Drosophila melanogaster: one gene and its partners. The protein of the gene in region 1 interacts with the protein of each later gene in a pairwise test. Each region holds a gene or a part of one and is shown in the gene's direction. Other genes may lie near its edges. The genes, in order: caup, l(3)neo38, CG4766 and CG7991.

The links.
Region 2: the proteins of caup (region 1) and l(3)neo38 interact in a two-hybrid assay, tested with the Drosophila melanogaster proteins (one large-scale study listed by BioGRID).
Region 3: the proteins of caup (region 1) and CG4766 interact in a two-hybrid assay, tested with the Drosophila melanogaster proteins (one large-scale study listed by BioGRID).
Region 4: the proteins of caup (region 1) and CG7991 interact in a two-hybrid assay, tested with the Drosophila melanogaster proteins (one large-scale study listed by BioGRID).

Annotation. Positions count from the first base shown.
Region 1 is NT_037436.4:12,607,433-12,612,888, forward strand, and holds the start of caup (caupolican), read left to right. Parts: upstream 1-2,198; 5' UTR 2,199-3,336; coding exon 3,337-3,387; intron 3,388-5,456. UniProt on the Drosophila melanogaster protein: Controls proneural and vein forming genes. Positive transcriptional controller of ac-sc (achaete-scute). May act as an activator that interacts with the transcriptional complex assembled on the ac and sc promoters and participates in transcription initiation.
Region 2 is NT_033777.3:11,775,574-11,781,076, reverse strand, and holds the start of l(3)neo38 (lethal (3) neo38), read left to right. Parts: upstream 1-1,948; 5' UTR 1,949-2,095; exon of another isoform or gene 2,096-2,219; intron 2,220-2,455; 5' UTR 2,456-3,398; coding exon 3,399-3,603; intron 3,604-5,503.
Region 3 is NC_004354.4:5,996,749-6,003,132, reverse strand, and holds CG4766 (uncharacterized protein), read left to right. Parts: upstream 1-2,335; 5' UTR 2,336-2,936; coding exon 2,937-3,139; intron 3,140-3,632; coding exon 3,633-4,186; intron 4,187-4,310; coding exon 4,311-4,660; 3' UTR 4,661-5,625; downstream 5,626-6,384.
Region 4 is NT_037436.4:1,672,608-1,678,448, forward strand, and holds the start of CG7991 (uncharacterized protein), read left to right. Parts: upstream 1-2,101; 5' UTR 2,102-2,514; coding exon 2,515-2,560; intron 2,561-5,841. Other genes in the region: CG13930 (uncharacterized protein), read right to left, coding at 1-98.

The DNA of each region.
Region 1 (5,456 bases):
ATGGGAATCCTGGGATCAGGACACTTATGGGCACGGGCTACGTGCTCCCAAGGATATGCGACATGTGCCACAGTTCACATGTCCGAAGTCATCAAACAAATCACTCAGAGATATTGATTCAAGGAGGTAAACACTGCAGAAAACATTCGATTCAATTAAAATATACTCCAATTAGCATGATACTCATTTTACATATTTTCTTAAACATTTAGTATTTATTTAATATAAGCTTATAATTATGCTAAATATAAATTATATATAGATTATTTGAAATGTTCATCTTGTGTATCTTCAAAATATCGAAACTTAAAAAATTACACGAGTATAGTCCTGCTTATTTGATGATTCAGAAATTGTTTTAATATATGATTACTTTACATAACGTTTTGGTATGATTGGATTGCATTTATGTTGTTTTCAATTGAAGAATAACTATTTGCAACTTTTAAACCAATCACAATTTGGCTCTTTAGAAATTCAATTTTTAAAAGCATACATTTTAAATTTCATGGATGAATTCTTTATTCTCAAATGCATTTCTTTCATGTGAATCCTTTCGTATTCCAGATCCCCAGACTCATGAAGTGGGTGTAGAATTTCGTGGCGCCGCCAAGAGCGTCCAGAAATTGAGTACCGATCAGGAGTTTGGGCATTCGGACACTTTTCCCAAAAATACCCGGTGCATTTTCATTTTCCTATGCAAATGACACATTGCTACACACACATTTACATATGCGTTCGTTTGTAAGTACCGAAAAAAGTGCCACATGTGCGTCTCTTTTGACTTTGAGATGCACTCGCATTTATAATAAATGGCAGCGCGTTAACACCCCAAAACATCAAAATACTCATTTTACAAAAATTCCCCAAAAACGTTCAGTTCCCCTCCCCACCCCGCCCGCTCCACATACCATTAATTAGAACGCACTCGACTCGAGGACCCTCAAATGGACCGGCCACGCCCCCTTCCTTGGATCGAATGGAATCGGATTGTTTGTTTGTTTTTTCTCCTATTTCGGTATCTTGTTACGATTAGCTAGTCCCAATTAGCTGCGATTTTCGTGATTTGGCCTTGAGATATTGGAGCATTAAGCACTTTTATGGGAAATGTACAATGCATATATCAAGCTATTTTTAAAAAAACACACACACACTGTAATGATTAAATGTTGTTGATGTTACCAATAACGTACGGATTAGTTTTCTTAAATAAAATTAGATTTTGGCTTTATATACTTGCAGACCTTCTAAAATAATTTAATTTGATTACTTTTTAGATTTTCCAAGTCCTTACACCACCCAAAATTTAAATGCACATTAAAATATCAAACTTTTTGTTTATTGGGAGCCAAGATAGAAAAGCAAATATGTTTATTAAAATATAAAAACATGCTTATATTTGTTTGCTGTATGTTATTTTTTGTAGTTTGATGTGACATAGATTATATTTATTTCAGCTGGGCTTATAAAAAAGGTTTTATGTTTTTGTTATTTTAATATTGAAAATTCTCTTTTAAAATTTCAAAGAATAATTGGAAGCGGATCAAATAAAACACTAAACTACTCAATATTAAAGAGATTGTATACCCACTCGTCTTGAAAAACATATCTTTATATGCCTGCAAATTTTCTTAAACATTATATTTAATTAATTAAATTAATGTTTGATTTTTTGAGATTGTAGAAAAATGTTCCAATTCTTCCCACGAATGTATGCCCAGACGTATTTTGACCAGTTATTATGATAGCAAATCTTCAGCAACTCTTTTCTAGTTTTTCCAATTATTTCTGTATTGTACTTTTTTATCAAAATCGGAAAATTCTTAGCCAACTTTGGCTACAATATCCAATTGGGAAGCCTTTCGATCGTGGTCCGCCATGAAATCGCTTCCAACGTCGACAGAGAGGGGTCGGCAGAAAGAGAGCGTCGACTTACTTTCCAGTGCTTGGAGGTGGGCGTTCTCAACGAACAAAGCAACAACAGCCCCAGAGAGTCTACCCTTCTCACTCGTTACCAGACCACTCACAGACGTGCAAGCGAGAAGGCTGCTGCTCGTGGCTGCCAGTCTGATTGGAACGCTGGCCAATGGGAGAGCTCCTAACTGGCTGGCTCTCTCGCGGCCCTGCAGCCATCCCGTTTACATCGCTGCTGCCATCTCTGTCACACGCAACCGCGCTGCTCGCTGAGCGGCCGAAAAACAGTTTGTTCCGAAACGCGAATAGGTGCGCATCTTCGCATCTTGGCATCTCCGCCGCGTCGCCCAGTAAACTCGAAAAAAGGCCGAAACGAAAGTACCGACGAACGAGTTACAGTCACCGGATAAGTCACAGTCGGTTATTGAGTCGCAGTCACTGCCGTCGTCACCGTGGAGATACCGCTGACAGGTTGGAACGGAACCCGTTTTTACTGGAGCATTGCCAGCGGATCGGATCGGCAGATGCAACCGACGTAGATAATGAAGTGCGTGCAATAGTTATGATAAAAGTAAATACGAAAAAAAGGGACCCGAAAAGACAGGCAAACCTCTCTAGAAATGTCTCGTTAAATATCAAAAGAAACTCGCCATAAATTCGAAACTATGTTTATTATTATGGATCACATATCAAAAAGTTTCCTAAGCTGACTTTAAAAAATTTCGATACAGTGTGGAAAAAACTGAAATACCAATCAGTGGGTAAACTCGCAAACCAAACTGACACATTCTTTTGACCGAAGACTGAAGAGCCGCGTACATTTGTAAATCTGTTTGCGGCAAACACTTGAATCCAATTTGCTTTGCCCGGCTGTCGTCTGTGTGTGTCTTTTTTTAACCATTTTGGTAACCGGCCGCCAAAGAGTCAAACAGAGTCAATAAAAATCAAGTTAAAACGGATGAAAACGGACGAGCGAAATAAAACAGCAAAGTCACACAAAACAAACAAAACATTTTCCGGCTCCGGCGACATTAACAGAACTGCTCGACATCGACAATTTGTTTTATCAATTTTCAACAAGGCCAGCCAGCAGCAGCAACAACAACAATAGCACAACACCCAACAAGCCAGCAAACAACAAAAGCGCCCAGAGTGCTTAGCCGTCGAGCACGCACGCCAAATCCGCCCAGCCACCCAACCCAACCACCCACTGGCCACCCACTTGAACCTCCCTTAAGCACCCAACACCATCCCCACATCCTTGGCCACCCCTTTTTCGAGGGCTCCGCCAGCATCCGCATCCGCAATCGCAAAAAAAAATAAGAAAACAACAAGCAAACAACGAGGGACGCCCCACAGTGAAGCCCCGGCACAGTGAACTCGCGTGTCGCCGCTCTTTAGGCCAACTCAGCCAGCGAGACAATGGCTGCATATGCGCAGTTTGGATACGCTGGCTACCCGACGGCAAATCAGGTGGGTTTATGCCGGTGGTTTGTTTAGAGATTAACAGTTAACCGTTTTTTTTAAGTCTGTATTGATTAGTAAGCAAACTTAACTTAAGTTTTAAACGGTTATTTAGCACAGACAACAATTTTAAGGAATCTTTTAGTATGGATCCAATATTGTATCTTATATATACATTTATATTTGCTTTGAAAATGTTGCTCCCTTTAGATTTTGTCAATAATATATTCAATTTTAAAAGTAACAAATTCCAAATCAATTAAAAACCTTATCCAAATTTTTTTTTGTAATCTCATAATTTGTGTTCAAACTGAAGGCCATAAATACCATATTATAAAGAGCACTTTGCTTACAATAATTATTGTGAATAGAATCTGAAGATTTATAAATACATTGATTTAAATTGAGTAGAATGCGAAAAACCAGTTGAAAGAGCAAATTTCTGAATTATTGCTACTGGGTGCCTTAAATTTAAATTTAAAACAGATGGCTTAGTCATAACAATTTATATTGGCCATGAAATTAAATTTATTAATTTCGTTATATGTATTTATTATATTTTGATTTACAGCTGTGCCATTTCAATATGCAGCCATAACTTAATCATTTCAAGAGACACTTGAATATACTATTTATTTAGTGCGGACTAAAATAATATTTGGCACACACACAAAAGATGTTTCATAAAACCAGAAACTGAGTCAGTTGAATATTTTGGCATGTGCGAAAAGGGAAATCTTTAATAATGGACGGTGCGAAATAACTTTAAATTTACATATTAAGCCGGCGGGTTTGGGGAGCAGCCACTGCACATGAATATTCAAGCACTTTGGCACCGGTTGGGGCTCCTGGATCCCTATATATATACATACATATATATATAGATATATATATATATATGCGGATATAGCCATAATGGCCGCCCCGCCGCCAAGAAATGTTTCACAATTTAGGACAGCCGTCACCGCCTTGGATGCAAATCGCTGGTAACCGAAGGGGGGGGTCTGGTGGGGCATTCCGGTGGCAGTGCATCGTCCGAGGTCTGGTCATAATTACCCGGTATTCGGAGCTCAGTAATTCAAATTAGTTGGCCCAAACGGGGGGAAGTGAAACACTTGCAGCTACAAAGCCCTTGCAATGCCTGTGTAAGCCATGTTCAACGACTACTATGTGGTCAAATGCGTCAATGCTAGTGCGTTTATCCTGCTGCCAATTTATGTACATTTATATATATACATATGTATATATGTGTGTATGTATACAATATTCCTGACCACGGTGGCTGGCATAAATTTATGCTAATGAAGCCGCCGGCGGAGTGGTGCACCATTTATTATAATATGCAAACTTGGTAAATTACAATAATTAAAATAATGAACGTTCAGATTATCGACTATAATTATGGCTGGAGATGTGCAAAAAGCCTTTTGCCTTGCAATCGATTAAGAGCCAACAGAATTTTGTCATCGTTTTCGGCTCATTTGCATACGTCTACTAAAGCCACTAAAAGCCACTAAATGCGACTAAGCCACCAATGAAAGACTGGTCAGTTGATATGGCATTCGGGTGCCAAATTTATGCAGTGCACACACTCGGGTTCTCATTAATTTAATTTTAATTTCGACGCCAAGACGGCATTCCAAATATAAAAAAAAACGACAATATATAAATTTAATCAACGGCTGACAGTTGGCAGTAGCAAAAGAACTTGCAGGCACATCGCACATCGAATTCTTAACTTCCCATGCGAGCTGTTCACGCATTTCATGGCAAAATAACTAAAATTCTAAGGCAGCAAAAAGTGCGCGACGATGTCGAGTCCTGGATTCACATAGGCTCCATCTGAAGCCCCCCCAAATTCCCCATCTCCATCTCCATTGGGACGCAAAAGGACAAGCCCGTAAATGATGCGAGAAAAAACTAATATTTCGCAGTGTGCATTCCATAATTGATTTATGAATTTTTAATGCAAACATTGAGACCGCAGTTGAGTTGCGAAAGAGTTGTTCCACTGCGAACCATAGTATTCTGCGCCCCAACTTAATTCAATAAGCAAGCCCCACAAAAAACCGAGCAAC
Region 2 (5,503 bases), on another chromosome or scaffold:
CAATAATTGCAAGTGGTGAAAGGGTTTACAGAGGAAAGGGTTTTCTGGGCTCTAAGTCGGGTTTATGCTGTGTGGGACCCTATATTCCGAATGAGTGTGGGGGAGATGGAGTGGGGGTCTGGAGAGGATGCTGAATAAGGAAACAAGTTACATACAAATAACCTAACATCAACATACATTGTGTACATGTGCACAACTATGTACATACATATGTATATGTACATCGGTATATCGAAGTATCTGCAGGTACATTCTGTACCCATGAGTGTGAGAGTATCAAAATATTTGATAGTGCCGGTGATCGAGTTTTCTAACTATTATTCGATACTCAGAATATTTGTATCTTCCGTCGATCGGCAGTAATTAATAATTGGAAAATGTGCATATAAACTCTAGATAACACATGTAACAGTTGCAATTGCTCGAAAATCAAGCTAAACAAAGCATTGCATTCAAAGATTCAAGCGCGGCAGAAAGAGAGAAGACGAGAGAACGAGCAAGTGAGTGAGAGACGAAACAAGGAGAATGTGAGAGAACGTAAAAAACTCCAACCCTCTGTATTAAACGAGTAGAAGACAAGACTGCAACAGGAAAAAACAAGAATGAGAAAAGACATACAGACATGCACACACAGGCGCTTATGCAAGTGCACGTGTATATGTGAATTAACACATAAAAATTAAGGTGCAGTCGAATCGACTTGCCGGTCTCCTGCGCATTTATTTTGTTACTTAATAATGTTAATATTATAAATAGAGATTGCTTAAATTTATTAAAAAAAGAAGTCATACGCATATTATTATATCTCTAGGTTATAGAAATATTTCCGTTAATTAAGCTTATGTAAATGGGGGTATATATGTATGTACATATATATGTATGTACATACAAGTATTTATCTGTCATCAAAATTCATAATGAAGAGGGATCACTAATTGAAAATGGGTCGAAACTCCTAGGGGGAGTTATTTTACCGATCTCGAACCCCTAGATGTGGGTTTGGAAAACATGAAAACACTTGCAAGAAGGCAGGAGAACAGAGGCAGAAGCGGAATCAAAAAAAGAACTTGTCTTAGTTCCACGGCCTGCTTTCTTTCGCCGCTGGACTCACTTTCATTAATACAACATACAGCAGAGGCAGAATTGAATGCAACGAGAGCAATGCGCTCGAGAACGCTCTGCTCTCTCGGCCTCTCCTTTCCCTTCGTCTACACATGTCCGTGGGCAAACAGATCCAGATACATGCACACAAGCATATAGCCAAACATAGATACTTGAAAACACATCGTACATACGCCGCTACAAACTGACATATTCACATGTAAACGTATAAGTGCACAGCCATACCACACAACCCCAAAAAGTTGGAAAACCAAATAAAAATACAAGGCGCATTGTATGTGCGTTTTTCTTGTGGACACTCTACGTCGATCTATGAGTACCCTTTTTGCAAGTTAATAAGAAATTTCATTATGATTGTTTCGAGTCCTAAAGGCTATATTCAAACCCAGATATAATGTAATATTTTTAAAAAATGTTCTTCAACAAGGTAGCCATTATCAGGAAATATATTAAAAGCAGGTTATCCTTTTACCCTCCAAAGAACTACAATAGTAGTTTTAGTAGTTTAGGGCATCCAAAGTGATCAAGATCCAGAATTTTGTTATGCAAATAAATTTATTCCCTACCATTAAAATACATAAATGCAATCTTAATGGCCCTTTCTGCTGTGCCTAAACCAAATCCAGATATTCAAAAAGTCATCCTGGTCGACGTTGTCAATACATTTGTTGTTGCCTCGACGGCGGTCACAAAAAGTAGCTCATCTCTCGCTGGAAACCAGTTTTTATGCTTCGCTCCCAACCGGTTTTCATCCTGATAACTTACAGCGAATTTCGTGGCTCGTCTCACTGCGTGTCTGGCTATGAGGTTCGGATCAGCTCGGTATCGGCTTCAGTCCCAGCATAAATTGCACTTCGCCTGCACGGATCGCGCATGAATATTCTGCCCAGCAATCTGGCCAAGTGACCAAGCCAATTTCGGGAGCAGGGGCCTGGGACCAGTGTCATATGCCCGACACTCGGTGCAGCGAAATGTAAGGAACGTTCAAATAAACGCGCATTTTCCAGAGAAGTAGAAAAACTTCCACCCTCAAAGCGGCACACAGCGCACAAACATACAGACAGTCGTACAAACACACAGCGAACTAATACAGACATGTAAGAATGCTGCAGTCGTGCAATTGGTTGGTAGACGAATAGTTGCTACCCAGTAAATGCGGGGGGTCATTGCCAATGCTTAACATGATCTTGGGAATAATTAAAAAAAATATATTTAACAAGAGGAGCGCTAAAAGGGGTGTAAAATTATCATTAGCAATCGGTTGATTTAAAAACATTCTATTTATTATATGTATTAAATAATTTGAAAAACTAATTAAACGATCAACTTATAGGTAAAATACCCATCTAAACTACCGATAAAGGTAACCATGAGAGATTGGATGAAAACGAGTGCCATTAGCCCTCTAACGAAATATAAAAACTAAAAACCATCTAAACCATAAGCGAGGAAAAGGGGTGCGAATACCTCCCAACCGATATACCCAGCGTGCCTCTGGGCACTGTCACTGTCATTTGCGTCGCAGCGCTGCCGCCGTCCGCGTCCGCGTCGCTTTGCCTGGCCCAGTGTTTCCGCTTTCTTTCGCCTCGTTGTAATGTTACTTTTAGTTTGATGTCGGAGCCTCGACGAGCCGGTCGTAAGCGAAATCGTAAGCGAGACTTTAGTGCGATTCCGCTCCGTTCCGCCGGTTGTGTGTGCGTGCTTAGTTCGAGCTGAGGCGAAGCAGAAGCAGAATCGGAATCAGAATCCAGCGGAATCGAGAATCAAAATCGAAACCGAAAGTGGTTCTCCGCGTGTGCGAGCTAGTGTGTGTGTGTGTGTACGTGTTGTGTTTGGGCCCGCTTTTCTGCTTTTCTACCCCCGAAAAAGCAAAGCACAGCATAAAACTGTGCGCTCGTAAGCGCGTACGTGTGTCTATGTGCCTCTGTGTGAGTGCTAGTGTATGAGTGCGACCAGGGGAAAGGAGGCAAAGAAAAGAAAACCAACCCCCACCAGCGACGGCGGAGAACAGGAAAACAACAACAGAAGGCACACAACCAGCGCACCACCACCATCATTACCATTACCGCCACCACCCACTACAACACTTCGTCATCGTTTCGCGTTGTGCAGAAAATAATTACAAAAAAGAAAAGAAATAGAATTGCAAGTAATATTAGCGACCGATCGAGTTTTAGTGCTAAAGCGATTCGAAAGATTGTCTTGCTTAAACCAAAAGGGCCCCTCGAGGCCCTAGAACTACTATCCATTACCCCGCCGATCATCCCGATCCTGACATGATGAACTTCTCCGCGTTCGGCGGCCCCTTCTCCGGCATCCACCAATTTGCCGCTAAATTCGACGCCCAGACGCCGGGCGCCTTCGGCACGCCCCCCGCGGCTGCCGCGAATGCAGCAGCCGCAGCGGCAGCGGCCGGCACCGATAACCATGTGCAGCGATATCAGACCAATGGCAATCACTTTAATCAGAATGTGCCCAACGGTAAGTGCATCTGCCCCACCACTACACTATACTATACAACATTTACAATGTGGCTACACATACGGACAGACAATCGCCTGCAATGCACATGCAGGCACATGTGTCTGTATAACATAATCACTAAAAATTTATTTTATTTTTATCGATTTATTTTCGCCCGCTGCGGGCAGCGACGCCGGCGTCAAAGCGTCAGGGGGTATACACTCTCACTCGAGCAGCGACAGTGGCGGTGGTGGTGGGGAGACAGAGTCGTTGACAGAGGCAGTGGCAGAGGGGGTCGGCTACTGCCTCGCCTAATGCCCTACACACAGAGGGTCTTGTTTTGGGGCAAAGGGCACTACTCTTGTTGGAATGGCAACTTCTGGATAGCCTTCTTTTTCAAAAATAAACTAAACGGGCTGCTGATAGTCATCAAAAACTAACGGGTACTTCTTGCAATAACTTATGATTAAGATCATCATAAATGAGAATAGTAAAACGTAAAAAATATACAACCTCTAATTTCGGTGAATAACACCTCTTGATTGTCCAATTGGTTCATATTTTAGTATTCATGACGGCAGGAAAAAGCAAGTAGAGTAAGCAAAAATATTTAAATGAAATTAATACAAATTGCTTATAGCTGTATTATTTTACAATAATATTCTGGAGTTCACGAACAAAGAGGTTTATTGATCTCAACATAAAGTTTGATTTGACCTTCTGTTTAGCATACTTTGCTTCAAACAAATCGTAGGACCTTATGACAATCCTATGAATAATTCTCAATAGTTTCAATTCTCTGAAGCTTAGTTAAAATTTCGTTTCCAATACTCAGCTAAAAAAAAAGTCCCACTTGAAACTCGAACAATACTTTCCTTGAATTCCCAGCGAAAGGTGGCTTCCATCTGGATCTACTTACTGACATTCGCATAAAGACATGTGTGAGTGTAAGCGGGTTTTCCACCCCCATCTACGAAATTCTCGCTTTCTGGCTAGCAAAGACATCTTCTTCAGGCAATTTGTAAACCGCACTACAATTTTTTGGGGGTTGGTTGGCGGGTTGGAGCGACTTAGTACGAGTACGAGTATACCCTGTCATCAAAGCAGAATTTAACGATTTTTTCGTCGTTGTTTTTGTTTTGCGCTCTTTTTATACGAATATTCCGCTCTATGTTTTGAGTCATTACCACCCACCCCCAAGTGGGTGTAACCTGTGTGTGTGTGAGTGTAAGCTATGGCTGTTGTTGTTTTGCGTGGCTTGAAAATGCAATGAACTCAAATAACTTTTGAATTTGCTGCATTTCACTTTGTTTTTTTGTAGGGGTGGGTTTCACCGCTCTCTTCAGCTACTTAAGCACATACATAGAAATACAATTAAATGCATATACGTATGTGTGTTGGGCGAGAGTATGTGAGTGAGTGTGTGTGTGTTTGAGTGTGAGTTACAACCCCCAACCCACGAGAGCCTGCCTTTGCCTTTTTAATTGCACTGACTTCCTGCCAACTTGCAACTTTTTTTGTTTTAGTGGAAGGGTGTGACCGGTTGGACGGTCTGGCGGTCGGTCGCTTCCATTCCCGATATATAGAATACATAACCCCTATACTAGCCCCTAACCAAAGGGTCCTTCTTCTTATCAATTCTAATTAGCTGCATTTGCTTGCATAATTAGATTCCCAGGCAACCCCCATCCCCCAGATGGCGTTTCATAATTTATTTTTGCCCTGGCAACAGCACAGATATTTTCCACTTGCATTTATTGGAAAGTGCAGGACCCAAGCCCAAACCCAAACTCAAACTCCTCTGCATTGGCTAAGTTCATTGATCCCAGCTTTTGAGATACGCATTATATTTCCAGTTTAGCGTTTTATATTTTTTACCTGCCATAACAGGAAAATGCGTTTGCAAGTGTGTGCCGAG
Region 3 (6,384 bases), on another chromosome or scaffold:
GCCTGATTACACCATAACTTTCTCAGATCTAGATACATGATCTTTTTAATCGGCTCGCTATTTCCCAGAATTGGAGGTCCCAGCTCAGCTGAACAGCCTGATTATGTCTATGTGCCGGAGGAATAAACTGCGCTGAATGGTTAGTGAAGGGACTAGAATCGTAACGGAGTCCGATGGGATCCGATCGGATCGAATGGGATCGGATCGGGATGGTATAGGATGGGACAGGGGCACTAAGACAAAAGAGACGATGACGCGGCGACGAAGGAGCAGAGCTGGCGGAGCAGCAAGAAGACAAACGTGGCGGCGACAACGGAGCAAGTGACAAACGTTTAGATGGATGGATCGTTCTTCATTTCGGGGGAACGAGAACTGAACTGAACCGAACAGAACCGAACCGGACCTCTAGAACGGGCGGTCAGTAACCAACCGAAAAAAAAAAGCGACGATTGCACATAAATTATATTCAAATTTCTTTGAGATCTAAGAGATATATAAAATACGGGAAAAACACACACATGCCACATGAAGTCACATGAATGGTCGGCGACCCCGAGACCCACGATCCTGGGTCTGAAAACCGAAAAACTGGAAAAAAAAATAAAAAAACTGTGTAGTTCTCCTTGTTGTGGCCTTTTTTTTAGTTTCCTCTGTTTGTTGAAATTTATGCAGATATGCGCGCATCTAGATAGGAGTTCCAGTGCCACCTCCATCTATCTGGTTACGTGGAAATCCAGCGCGCCAAAAATCAGCCAAATGCCATGGAGTGGTGAGGAGCACCTGGCATCGTCGTTCTCTCTAAAATGGTATCCCATCCAATCGTATCCCATTCATTGGGGCTCCATTAAAATTCGGCTGACAGCAACGATTCACGGCCCCAACAAATTGGAATGGGCTGAATACTATTTAGATATGGCTAGATCTGCTCAAACTGCCACTGATTGATGTCAATAAAGCCGAACAAAAGACCTAACAGCCAACAAAAGATACAGTGGGCCTTCGTTAAGTGGCCAAAATTAGTTTAAAGGGCCATCTAATTGATCATATTCGATATATAGTTTTTTTTAAGTATTTCGCTGTATATATTTCCTAACTTATACGTTTTTTAAAACTTTTAGTTCACTGCATCTCTTTCCATATATGTATGTATCTTAAACATTTTGTATCCATACCTTGCAGATACGTCTTTAGATACTTCCGTCACCATGGGATGCTTGACCCCTTTTTTCCGCTTCCTTCTGCGAAAATTCTGCTGGTCGTCGGCAATTGTGTTCGGTTTGTGTTTTGCCTCCACTCGAATTAGTGGCTGCGTTTGGGATTTGTCTAATTGGAGGAGGCGACGGGCGCTTTGATCTTGCCACATGTCCATCAAGTACACTACATATATGTATGTATACACGATGTACATATTATTATATGGTATATAAGACGTACGGAGAGGGGGAAAGGCGGTAACCGAGAACGGAGGAAGTTGCTCGCTTGGAACTGAGAGCGCTGTCAGAAATTGCCAACTGGCACATTAATCCACGCGACATATTTATGAGTGTAAATGTATCTGTGTATCCGCGAGATGCGAGATATAAAGATATCGGCCGGCAAACGTGGGACATGGACGAGGGTTGCTCGTTGCTCGCTGCTCTTTGCTAAATGAGTGCACATTTCAGATAAATTATTGCACACAACTTGTACGCGATGGCAGGCCGAAATGTATTTAACAAATTAAATTTACACACAGATACACACACCGCGGCTCGCAAGACTTCAAAGAGGGCGCCGCAGCGTAACGGCCGCCAAATGGGGCGTGGCCTCGACGGGCCAATGGCAACGCGCCGCTCTCACAGATACACAAGCAGGCAACCCCATAGATACACCCATACGCATGCAGGCCAGAGAGACAGACAGAGAGCGTATTTGTTTTTAGTACACGCAGAAAAATGAAGTTCTGTTTGTGTTTTTTATTTTAATGTTAACTAGTAATTTTAGTCAGAACCTTAAGTAGGGAATTATATTAAATCAAATAACCGAACTATTTCTTCTTTGAAAAATATAACATTTGTGATAAGAAGAAGTGGCTCTTTGCTACAACAACTAAGAAAGAGTTACTATTAGAATTGTATCTATAACGTTTAAAGTGCCTAGATTTTTGTCAAAGTGCATCTGGCAGATACGACAGATACGCGGGGCCTGTGGCGAGTATCTCATCGATTTTTTAAGCGTCGGAATGCGTGGCACGAGACAGAGACCCCTGTCACGTGACAGCACCGACATGTATCTGTATCTTTGTGTGTGCAGCTGTGTGTATCTGAGCCTGTGAGTCCCATTCATGCCACTGCCACCGAGATGGCGGATTTGTTAGATACTGGCATGGATATTGAGATACTTCGCTGCAGCCGGGCCAAACTGCACTTTCAGCGCTTTTTTTTTTATCTGCCCGAAGCTGTAAATATCCGCGAGATTTACAACGCCAGCCAGCCGCGACTTCGGTATCGGTATCAGTATCGTTTGGCTGACTTCGATTCGTACTCGGAATCGGCATCGGCATCGGCAGCGGCATCAGGCTGGGGGTATCGCTATTGAGCGCAGCGCATCATTCGGTCAGCAATTCGCCAATGCAGATACTGTATCTGCGGGCAGCAGCTACTAAAATTGAAGAGCCAAAAGCTAAAATACCCATATACATACTCGGTACACCGCGGTCATCGTCGTCGTCGTGCTCCACTTGTGCCCATTGTTGGTTCTGCTGTCACCGTAACTCACAATTGAATTGTTCCTTTGTTCTGTCCCGTCCAGAAGGAGACCCGCTGCCGAATTTCGCATAATTGGCTGGCTTTTAAGTTGGCCGCCAGACCAAGTGTCGCCGGTAAAAAGATACATCTACAGATAGATCGTTGTACTTTTGGTACTTTTGGAGCTTGGTGGAACTCGAACTGAGTACCATGCTGGTGCCGCCGGACATGATGGCCGCCCAGACGCGCATGGTCTATCAGATGAATCGATTCTGCACGGAGAGGGTTCAGGCCAGGATGTACAAGACGGCCACCGCCATCCGGGAGATCTGCAAGATCGTCCAGGACATCCTCAAAGAGGTGGAACTGCAGGAGCCGCGATTCATCTCCAGCCTCGTCGAGTGCAATGGCAGGTAAACTTTTTCAGTATCTTTTCATTAGTATCTCAGTATCTTTTCTTTAGTTTCTTAATAACCATATATTAATAACTATATTACCTAATGTTAAGCCGATGCATAAGTTAGCTAATAAAAACGAGAGCTGCTCATCCGATCAGAGATGTCTAGTGTTCCCAACCACAGAGCCATCAACAAGATATCTGGGTAATTCCAGTGCCCTGATGACTGTCATCGCGGCTACTTCTCACTCCAGTAGTTCCACACCATTGCAATCAAATCCGATCCTCTTCACTCCATTGCGATCATTACAACCAAAGTGCAGAGTCATTGTCAGTTAACTGACAAGTCATGCTCATCGAGGTCTCGCCACCAGAAACGGAGTAGCAGTCGCCCCCTATTATACTCATTTCAACACGATAAACTATCAGATTAATATATAGATTTAAAAATATATATATAGTATTGTAAGTAAGCGGTTTCATCGAAATAGTTAACATCACTTTTACAGATTCGAGGGCGTTGAAGTGATATCCCCGAATGAATTCGAGATAGTGCTGTATCTGAATCAAATGGGTGTCTTCAATTTCGTGGACGATGGCACCTTGCCGGGATGTGCTGTTCTGAAGCTGAGCGATGGAAGGAAGCGGTCCATGTCCCTGTGGGTGGAGTTCATAACGGCCAGTGGTTATTTGTCCTCCCGGAAGATCCGTGCCCGTTTCCAGACTCTGGTGGCCCAGGCGTGCGATAAAAGTGTCTACCGCGACATGGTCAAAATGGTGGGCGACACCAGCGAGGTGAAGTTGCGCATTCGGGAGCGATTCGTGGTCCAGATTACGCCGGCATTTAAGTGCTCAGGCATCTGGCCAAGATCGGCGGCCCACTGGCCGGTACCACATCTCCCGTGGCCACATCCCAACATCGTGGCGGAGGTCAAGACCGAGGGCTTCGATCTTCTGTCCAAGGAGAGCGTCATCATGCAGAACAAGAACAACAATGCCGCCAGCATGGAGGGCGATGCCTGGGTGCTCAGCTTCTTCGAGGCCGAAAACCGTCTGCTGCAAGGTAAACATCTTATGGATACACCTTTACACTTACAGAAAAGATCACACAATTTACTAGCAACTTTTAGTATAGTTTGGGAATTTGAAATCTGGTGTATTTAAATCTCATATTGAATTCCTTTCAGGTGGCTGTCGTCGACGTTGTCTGAGCATGCTGAAGACCCTGAGGGACAGGCATCTGGATTTACCAGGCAATCCCATCAGTGCGTATCACCTGAAGAACCTGCTGCTCTACGAGTGCGAGAAGCATCCGCGGGACTTTGAGTGGGACGAGGGCTGCATCGCTGACCGCATCAATGGGATATTCCTGCAGCTGATATCCTGTCTGCAGTATCGCCGTTGTCCCCACTACTTCCTTCCCGCACTGGACATGTTCAAGGGTAAATCCCCCAGTGCTTTGGAGCAGGCGGCCAAGCAGGTGTGGCGCTTGACCCGCGAGCTCCTCACAAATGCCAACGCCTTTGAGAAGTTGTAAGGTGTCAGAGGTTAAAGGTCACGACTGGTCGATAATGGCGATGACATTTTTGGCAGGAATTTATAATTATTAACCGCACTCATAGAGTGAATATTGTTCTTATTTTTTTACCCGTTAGATTAGATTCTTTTGCTCCATTCACATATTGTTGATTTGACTAACTTCTTCTTGCAGTCACGCAAATATCGACCCATCCGAAGTCGGGGGAGTGCTGATGTGTATGAGGTGCCAGGCAAGTCGGAGATGAAAGGTACATATGCGAATAAATACATACGCATAAGCACAGCTCCTTGGCGGCCATTTTGTGCCATGTCTGTGTATATGTGACTGTCTGCGTGCGTGCGCGTGTGTGTGTGTGTGTGTGCGAAAGTGTTAATGCGAAGATGCGAGATAAGTCCACTCCCCATTCGACTCGACTCGACTCGACTCAACTCGACTCGATGCGATTCGAGATATATATCTGCCCATCCAAGCGATCCGGCTAAGCCTCGAATATTGTTTTTAATAACTCGCCCCTCGACGCTCACGACACATCCTTTGTTTGGCCGGCGAACAATGGACTCGCCGGTTCGCAAGTCCGGATGGAAAAATCGAAAAATCGAGAGAATGAAAAAAGAGCATTTGTCCAGGCGGCTCCTTTTACACGGTGGCTATACACACTCGACGTATACGATTGTTTCACAGTTCGCAGATCCTAGATCAAAGCAAAACGAACATACAAAAAATATATAATATATACATATAGCGCTAGAACAGAGGGAGATACAGATTCCATTGATCGTTCCAAGTCCAACTTAACATTGTTTTACTACTTACATATACATATACACATATTTATGTATGTCGATGTCTATTATGCGATGCCTAACATTTACCACGATTATCCGCAGTTTGTTTTAAGTACAACATAATCCTAGATTGCTAATGTAAAAAATGCTTGAATAAATTCAAGGATAGCCAAAGGCAACACTCCAGGTATTGTTTTCCTATCAATAGGGATTGTATTTTAAATCACTTGATTGCTTAGCAAATACTTACACAACACTTGCTGAAAGAACATGGAGAGTTAAAAAATGGATGTTCTTAACTGATATTCATATATTTAAATGAGGCTGACAAACGGAAGATGTACCACAAAAAAAGGACAAATCTGGAAAGGATGTGCTGGGATCTCATTAGTTCGATCGGCGGTTGAGTTAATGTTATGATTATTGGCAGTGGCGAATATTTATTTGCAAACGACGACATATCTGGATCTGGATGTGGATCGGAATCGTCTTGGGATCTGAGGCTGGGAAGATGCAGCTGCTGCAGCGACAACTGAGCATCACTTTTATTACCCTTATTTATGGTTATTTTCTGGCGGGGGCTGGATCCACGAAAACCGAGTGGTTTGCCTGCTTTGTTCTGCGGTTCTTTTGTCCCTTCGCTTTACTTTATTATTTTTCGTTTTTTTTTTTCTTTCTTTCTTTTTTTTTGGATTTTTTGCGGAACGAAAACTTTCAGCGAATGTAATCGATATTTTCCTCGATGGACGCGTCGACAAAAGGTGTCTCTAAACGGAGAGCACGGGATATAATCAGCGTCAGCACAAAGAGCCAGTTGGTCGGAGCGATTCGAGTCCAAGGATATGCCAAGGATATAATAATGCGTGGGCCAAAATAACAAATTATGCCAAGGCACGCAGGGATCATGTTACGCAGCCCTCCATCACCAGCAGTAAC
Region 4 (5,841 bases), about 11 Mb from region 1:
TCCGCTCCGGGCTCCTTCATCAGCGGATGGTCCCTAATCATCCTGCTCAGTTGCTCGAAGTCCGCGGTGCGGTAATCCTTCCTCAAAGGTCGCGACATCCTTCTCAATTAATTTGAATGAGCGCGTGCCGCCGATTTCCCAACTTGTTTACTGCGTGTGCAGACATGGCAACGCAACAATGGTGGATACAATATATGGGTGCCATAACTACCAAGTGCTGTAGTTGCACTCCGATTGCAACACGGAATTCCATTAGCAGGCTCACACATGACTGCACTCATTGCGTCCATAAATATTTATAACTCACATTTAAATCGCGCAACAAAAGTGCATAATAAGTGGGTTGGTAAGCAAAAACGTATATTTAAATATGAATGTAGTTCCAGTTGTGCAATGAAGATGAAGCCACCATAGTCTAACATCAATTTGGATCATTACCTTTAGTGATTCCAATAATTTGCGCGGCTTTCTGACCTGTCACAAGAAAAATCCCCCAACCGGAGAAAAGCAAAACAAACTATAAACTACAAAATACAAACTACAAACTACCAACAAATGAAATTCGTATTCATATTCCAATTAGACAGTAGAAGAATAGCAGACGGAAAATAGTTAGATGGTATATGGTAAAAAGGTCTTTAATTCCGCCACATAGCCGCATAGGAAATGGGCAAAAGATGGGATGAGGAGGAGCACTTGGCCATGTGGGCGATTGAGAGCAGCAAGCCGTGCAGCACACTGAACGAAAATAAGATCGGGTTAAGAATGAAATATGATTAGGTTAAGTGCTCACAGCAAAGAAATGTATCTACAGAGAAATTATTTCAACATGAATCCCAAACTATAAATATGACAATCTTAATTTGAAGATAGCTTGTAATAATCAAAGCGATTTTCCGTGTATAGAAGATATGGAAGTCGAAAAGAAGTTGTTTATGTTAATTTGGCTTTATGCTTCGCTACGCTGATTCGCTTGATGAACATATAGCAAAAAAGAGGGCTGATTATGAGGACGACGACGACGACGACGACGATGACGATGATGATGAGGGGGCCCAAACCGAGCGAATATGGCCAAGTGCACTATGTCAAACGGAGGGGCACACGGCAAGCGGGCAACTGATGGCCAAGAAGAACAAACCATCAAACCGTCAACGCATCAAAGCGTTAAGTAATAAATGTGCAGGCAGCCAGCGAAAAGAAAGAGTTAAGAGCAAAAAAAAAAAAACAAATCCAAGCGGGCTATAAACAATAGTCGCCTGTCTTGCAGGTTGCGTGCATTTTGAACTCTGCACGAGCCAACGATCGTTGTTGTTGGCCGATTTGGCCAGACTCTTGTTGTTGCTGTTACACATTTTGGGGGCAGCAACAACCACCTACAGTCAGCGAAATTCAGTGAACCGCCACCAACGCGACGCCAACTGCGACGCCGGCGGCGACTGCGCAGTCAGCGCCACACTGAATTACATCTTTGAGGTGTTGAAAAATATTAATAATATTTTAAAATTACACTTTAAGTTTAAGACTCAGTTCTGTGATAGCTTTTTAATGGACTAACCCAGCTTGTAAGCAAGCTGATACCACTGATGTAACTACCTTTTAACTCCAGCCAGTTGTTAGCCATGTTTGTCCAGTGTTTGTGAGATAATTAATAATTTTGTCGCCAGCCCGCAAGAAACGAGTCTGCGGAGTGGACCCTGTTTTGAAAAGTGAAATAAAACGCCACTTTTTACGAACATCTAATTGTGTCCGCACCCTGGAAACCCATAAAACGCGCCATCTCCATCTCGATCCAGCCCATGGGCTGGCTATTAGCCATATGTCGCTCGCATTCAGATCGTCTGGGCTTCTTACACCTGTTTTATGTCCCCACTGGCCCCAATGTGCGACGACTGCCCCTTTCGGAGCGTCGACTGCGCCGCCCGGCGTTTCGGTGTAACACATTTTCAGTTCGTTTCCATTGTGGCAGGGAGCGCGGAAGACCAGCGAGCCAGCGAGCCAGCGCGCCAGACGAGAAGAGCTGGCGGCAGAGCGAGCTCAAGTCGAGCTCGGAGGTTTTTTTTCGAGGCAGCGGAGCGACTTTTTATTCGTTAATTAACCGTCGAGCGGGCCAGAAGTCCGAGTTGCTCGGCTTAACGGAAGTGCTGAAATCGGGCGGCTAATTGAGCACACCTCGCCTCCAGTTGACACCTGAGACACCTGAGGGAAAAAACGAATTGAAACCACTCCACATAGCTCGGGTCATAACTTTCCTCGCTGGCCGGCTGCTAATGTCTCAATTTGTTGTGCGCGTTGGGCAAGTGCAGTTGCCATTCAGCCGTGGCTGTATCTGAAAGATACAATTCGGGAGAGCTCGGTTCCTGAGTGATTCGAAGTTTATGCTAATCAGCTGTGTTGCTCCGCGAGAGGGATCATTTCGCCATAGACCCACACCCGCATAGCCAGTGATCACATAACGAAATAACGAAACCAATCAGCAGACGATCTTATCAGCGCCAAAAGAGGAGGAACACAATGTTGTTTTGGAAGAGGCGTCTTCAGCGATCGAGCAGCTCTTCGAGTAAGTCCCCGTTTCTATATGGCCAAGTTTGTGGGAATGGTGGTAATGGGGGACGGGGGACGGGACCACGCCTCCAACGATTGGGCAACAAGAAATATGATTTCGCCGGGCAGGTGAATTTCGATTTTCGGTCCAGTGACAAGCTCGAATATTTTGGCCTCGACTCATCTGCATAATTTGCATCTTAAGCATTATTTCTGGCTGTGCCCAGCGACTGGTTTATTGATTTTATTTCAGTGCTTCCCTGGCCAAGATCGTAAATTCACCCCGCTGGGCTTCATCACCCACAAAAGACTTGGACAAATACAAATGGGAGCGCGAGCCACGCGGGACATGAATAATAGCTCATATCTGGCCATCGAAATTCTCGCCGAGGTGTTCCCTTTGTGGATGACGATTGCCCAGAGATTTATGAATGGATTTAATGTGTTTAGCATAATTATGCAGATCGCCGTGTAGAAGATAATATCTCACTAGGTTTGGTTTCAAGCGTAAACACTTGGGATGGAAGTGGAAAGATTTGACACATTCACGATCAGTCGGATAAAGATTTGATGGTCTTAAGGGGCTTGGGAAGAATGGGTTTACTAACCAATATGATTATAGTGTGGTCAACACATTGTACCCTAATCCCCCACTTGAATCCCTCTCCTTCCTTTGAAAACCCATGGCCCGCAGTCAGGTGTCATAACAGATTTGTCCCGATGGCCAACAAGGTGGCCAACTGCTATCGAGCATCGCATTGAAAACTGTCCCTTTTCCCCACATTCCTGTGGTTACTCTTCGTCTTCTCCCATCCCATCCCATCTGCTCCATAACTTTCCAACCAAGTGCCGACTATGTGTCTCATTCGCTGTATCTCAGTTCTGAGCTCTCGGGGTTTATTTGGGATCAAAAACATGACTTTGACTTGTGGTAATGTGATGTTAATGACAATCATCAGCAGCGACACAAGCAATAACAACGCAGGCAGAACGAGGAGGAGCAGGAGTAGGAGTAGGTGACATCCACACCACCGCCACATGAAAGCAGTAGTCCCAGTAGTGGGTAGCCCCGCCTCCTGAGCCGCGGAGCACGCCTAACACGATTCCGGAGATCGGACATCTCTGCCAGCGACATTTATTTTATGTGCGTTCCGTTCCCGAAAGTCGTGGCCCATAATCGGCTTACCCAGAGTTCTTGGCTCTACCATACCGCAGTTGACACTTCTGGCTATTTGGTTCGCTTAGTTCGTGCCCGGAGTCTTCTGTTTTTATAGAAGCTGCCCATCAAGTTGCAGGTTTAATGGTCGCTTGTGGCCCAGTGCCGCATCGAAAAATGAGTTCGGCGTTTTGTTGTGACATTTTAATGGCCTGACCGAGCTCCATTCCCCACCGCCGAGATGGTTATCAATATTACAAAATAGTTTTCGGCTTTCGGTGGAAGCGTGCTGGATGGGATTGGAATGGTAAACAGTGTCTGGAGAATTATCTGAAACCTAAGACGATGAGCAAGGTGGAACAATTTAAATTACCATAAATCAAAACCCACAGATATACTGTGTAAGAAGTGTAGAAACATAAGTTCCAATTGAGAGTTTCTCACCGAGTTTAGTCGAGCTCTATTTGGGGCACTCCATTTGCAAGTGGCTTAATTCCCATAAATTCCGTTTGTAGATCTTTCACTTGACCGGACTGCGTCCCCCTTTGAGACCCACTTAGCCCACATCTTTGGGTCAGTCCTACACTTTCCGCGCATTCCACGAGCTCGGACCTCGAAAATTGTCTGCAAATTGCTCATAAATTACATGAAAACCGTCGCAATGCCAAAAGCTGCACCTACACCATCATTATCAGCTTGTAAATAAAAAGACTTTATCAATCGTTAAGCCGCGGGCGCAGACTCGCCATCCGGAGCCCGCGTCCGGGATCCAAGATCTCACCTCATAACATAACATAAAAGTCGTCCGGGTGGAAGGAGATGAGATGAAGATGGAGCGAAGGTGGATGCCCATTCCCATTCCCAATCCCATTCCCATCCTCATTCCAGGGCAAAACCCTGGCTCCGCTGCGGTCAAGTACAAATATTTTTATTTATGATTTTACAGATCAGCATATTGCTCAATAATTTCACCGCACCGGCAACAAAATAACTTTCAAATTACGCCTGCCGAGGATCCTCGCTTAAGTGCGCCAATTTTGAGATTATTATTGCCGGCTGCGTATGCAGATAATCGTGACCCAAAGTGCAGGAGGATGGGGTGCCCATAACTCAGCCGGTTCAGCTGGGAATCGGGAATGAGCTGGAATGATCCTCGACCAGCAAGGACTAGTGGATTGAAGCTGGTCAGCCACCGATTTAATTACTCTATTTGGCTAGTTTTTTGGGGTCGAATTTAGGTTGTCTGCGCTAGTTGGGATCTGGATTTGGATCTGGATGTGGAGTATTTGGGGCAGCTTAATATTTTCCCATAAATTACTCGGGGCCAGGAGAAAATTACTTTAAAATTTATGGCCCCGGCATCTTACACGCTGATTTGGCCCTTTTATTTTCGGCTGGCCGTTTGGTTTCTTTCTCTGGCCATCGAGCATCGAGCACTGGCTGCGAGGATCTGGGAACAGGTCGTGGCGGCGATGCCCCCACCGCAGTGATATCCGCGTTCCGAGGGGGCGGTCCCCTGGAAAGTTCGCACGATTGATGATCGACTGCGAGTCGCAGTTGCCGAGCTCCAGATTCACTGGGCTCCCTGGGCTGCGATGATGACGCCGTCCTGTCACCGCACTGACATCGCTGTTTATGTAATTACCGCCGGCCGCGCAGCGATCACAAAGCTATCCCGATATCCCAGTACCAATCCCAATCCCAGTGTATCCGATATGATCGCGATCGCACACACAGCTTTTGGGCTCAGCCCAGCTCAGCTCAGCTCAACTTTGGCTTTAGCTTCGCTTCGGACGCAGCTTGTAATTATTTTCTACTTAATCTTCATCACATGTGAAACATGTCGAAAAGTTAAGCGCTCGGCATGAGGCGTTGCCTCCACTCCTCGCTCCACTGCCCAGCGTCGCGTCCGGGGATGCACTTCATCGGATTTCACTTGCACTCGAGGCGGGAGTGGAACTTCCTCAGCCATTTCCAATCGCTAATGACTGCAGGAAATGGTCGGCACTGGGAACATCTATTGTGGGGAATTTACCAAATTTCACGGCTACCAGCGGGGTGTTAAAAGATAGCTTAAATGTGGGGAAGTATCTGAGTATCTGCTAGATATGTTTCATTAAATTTGAGCTACTCCGCCTCAC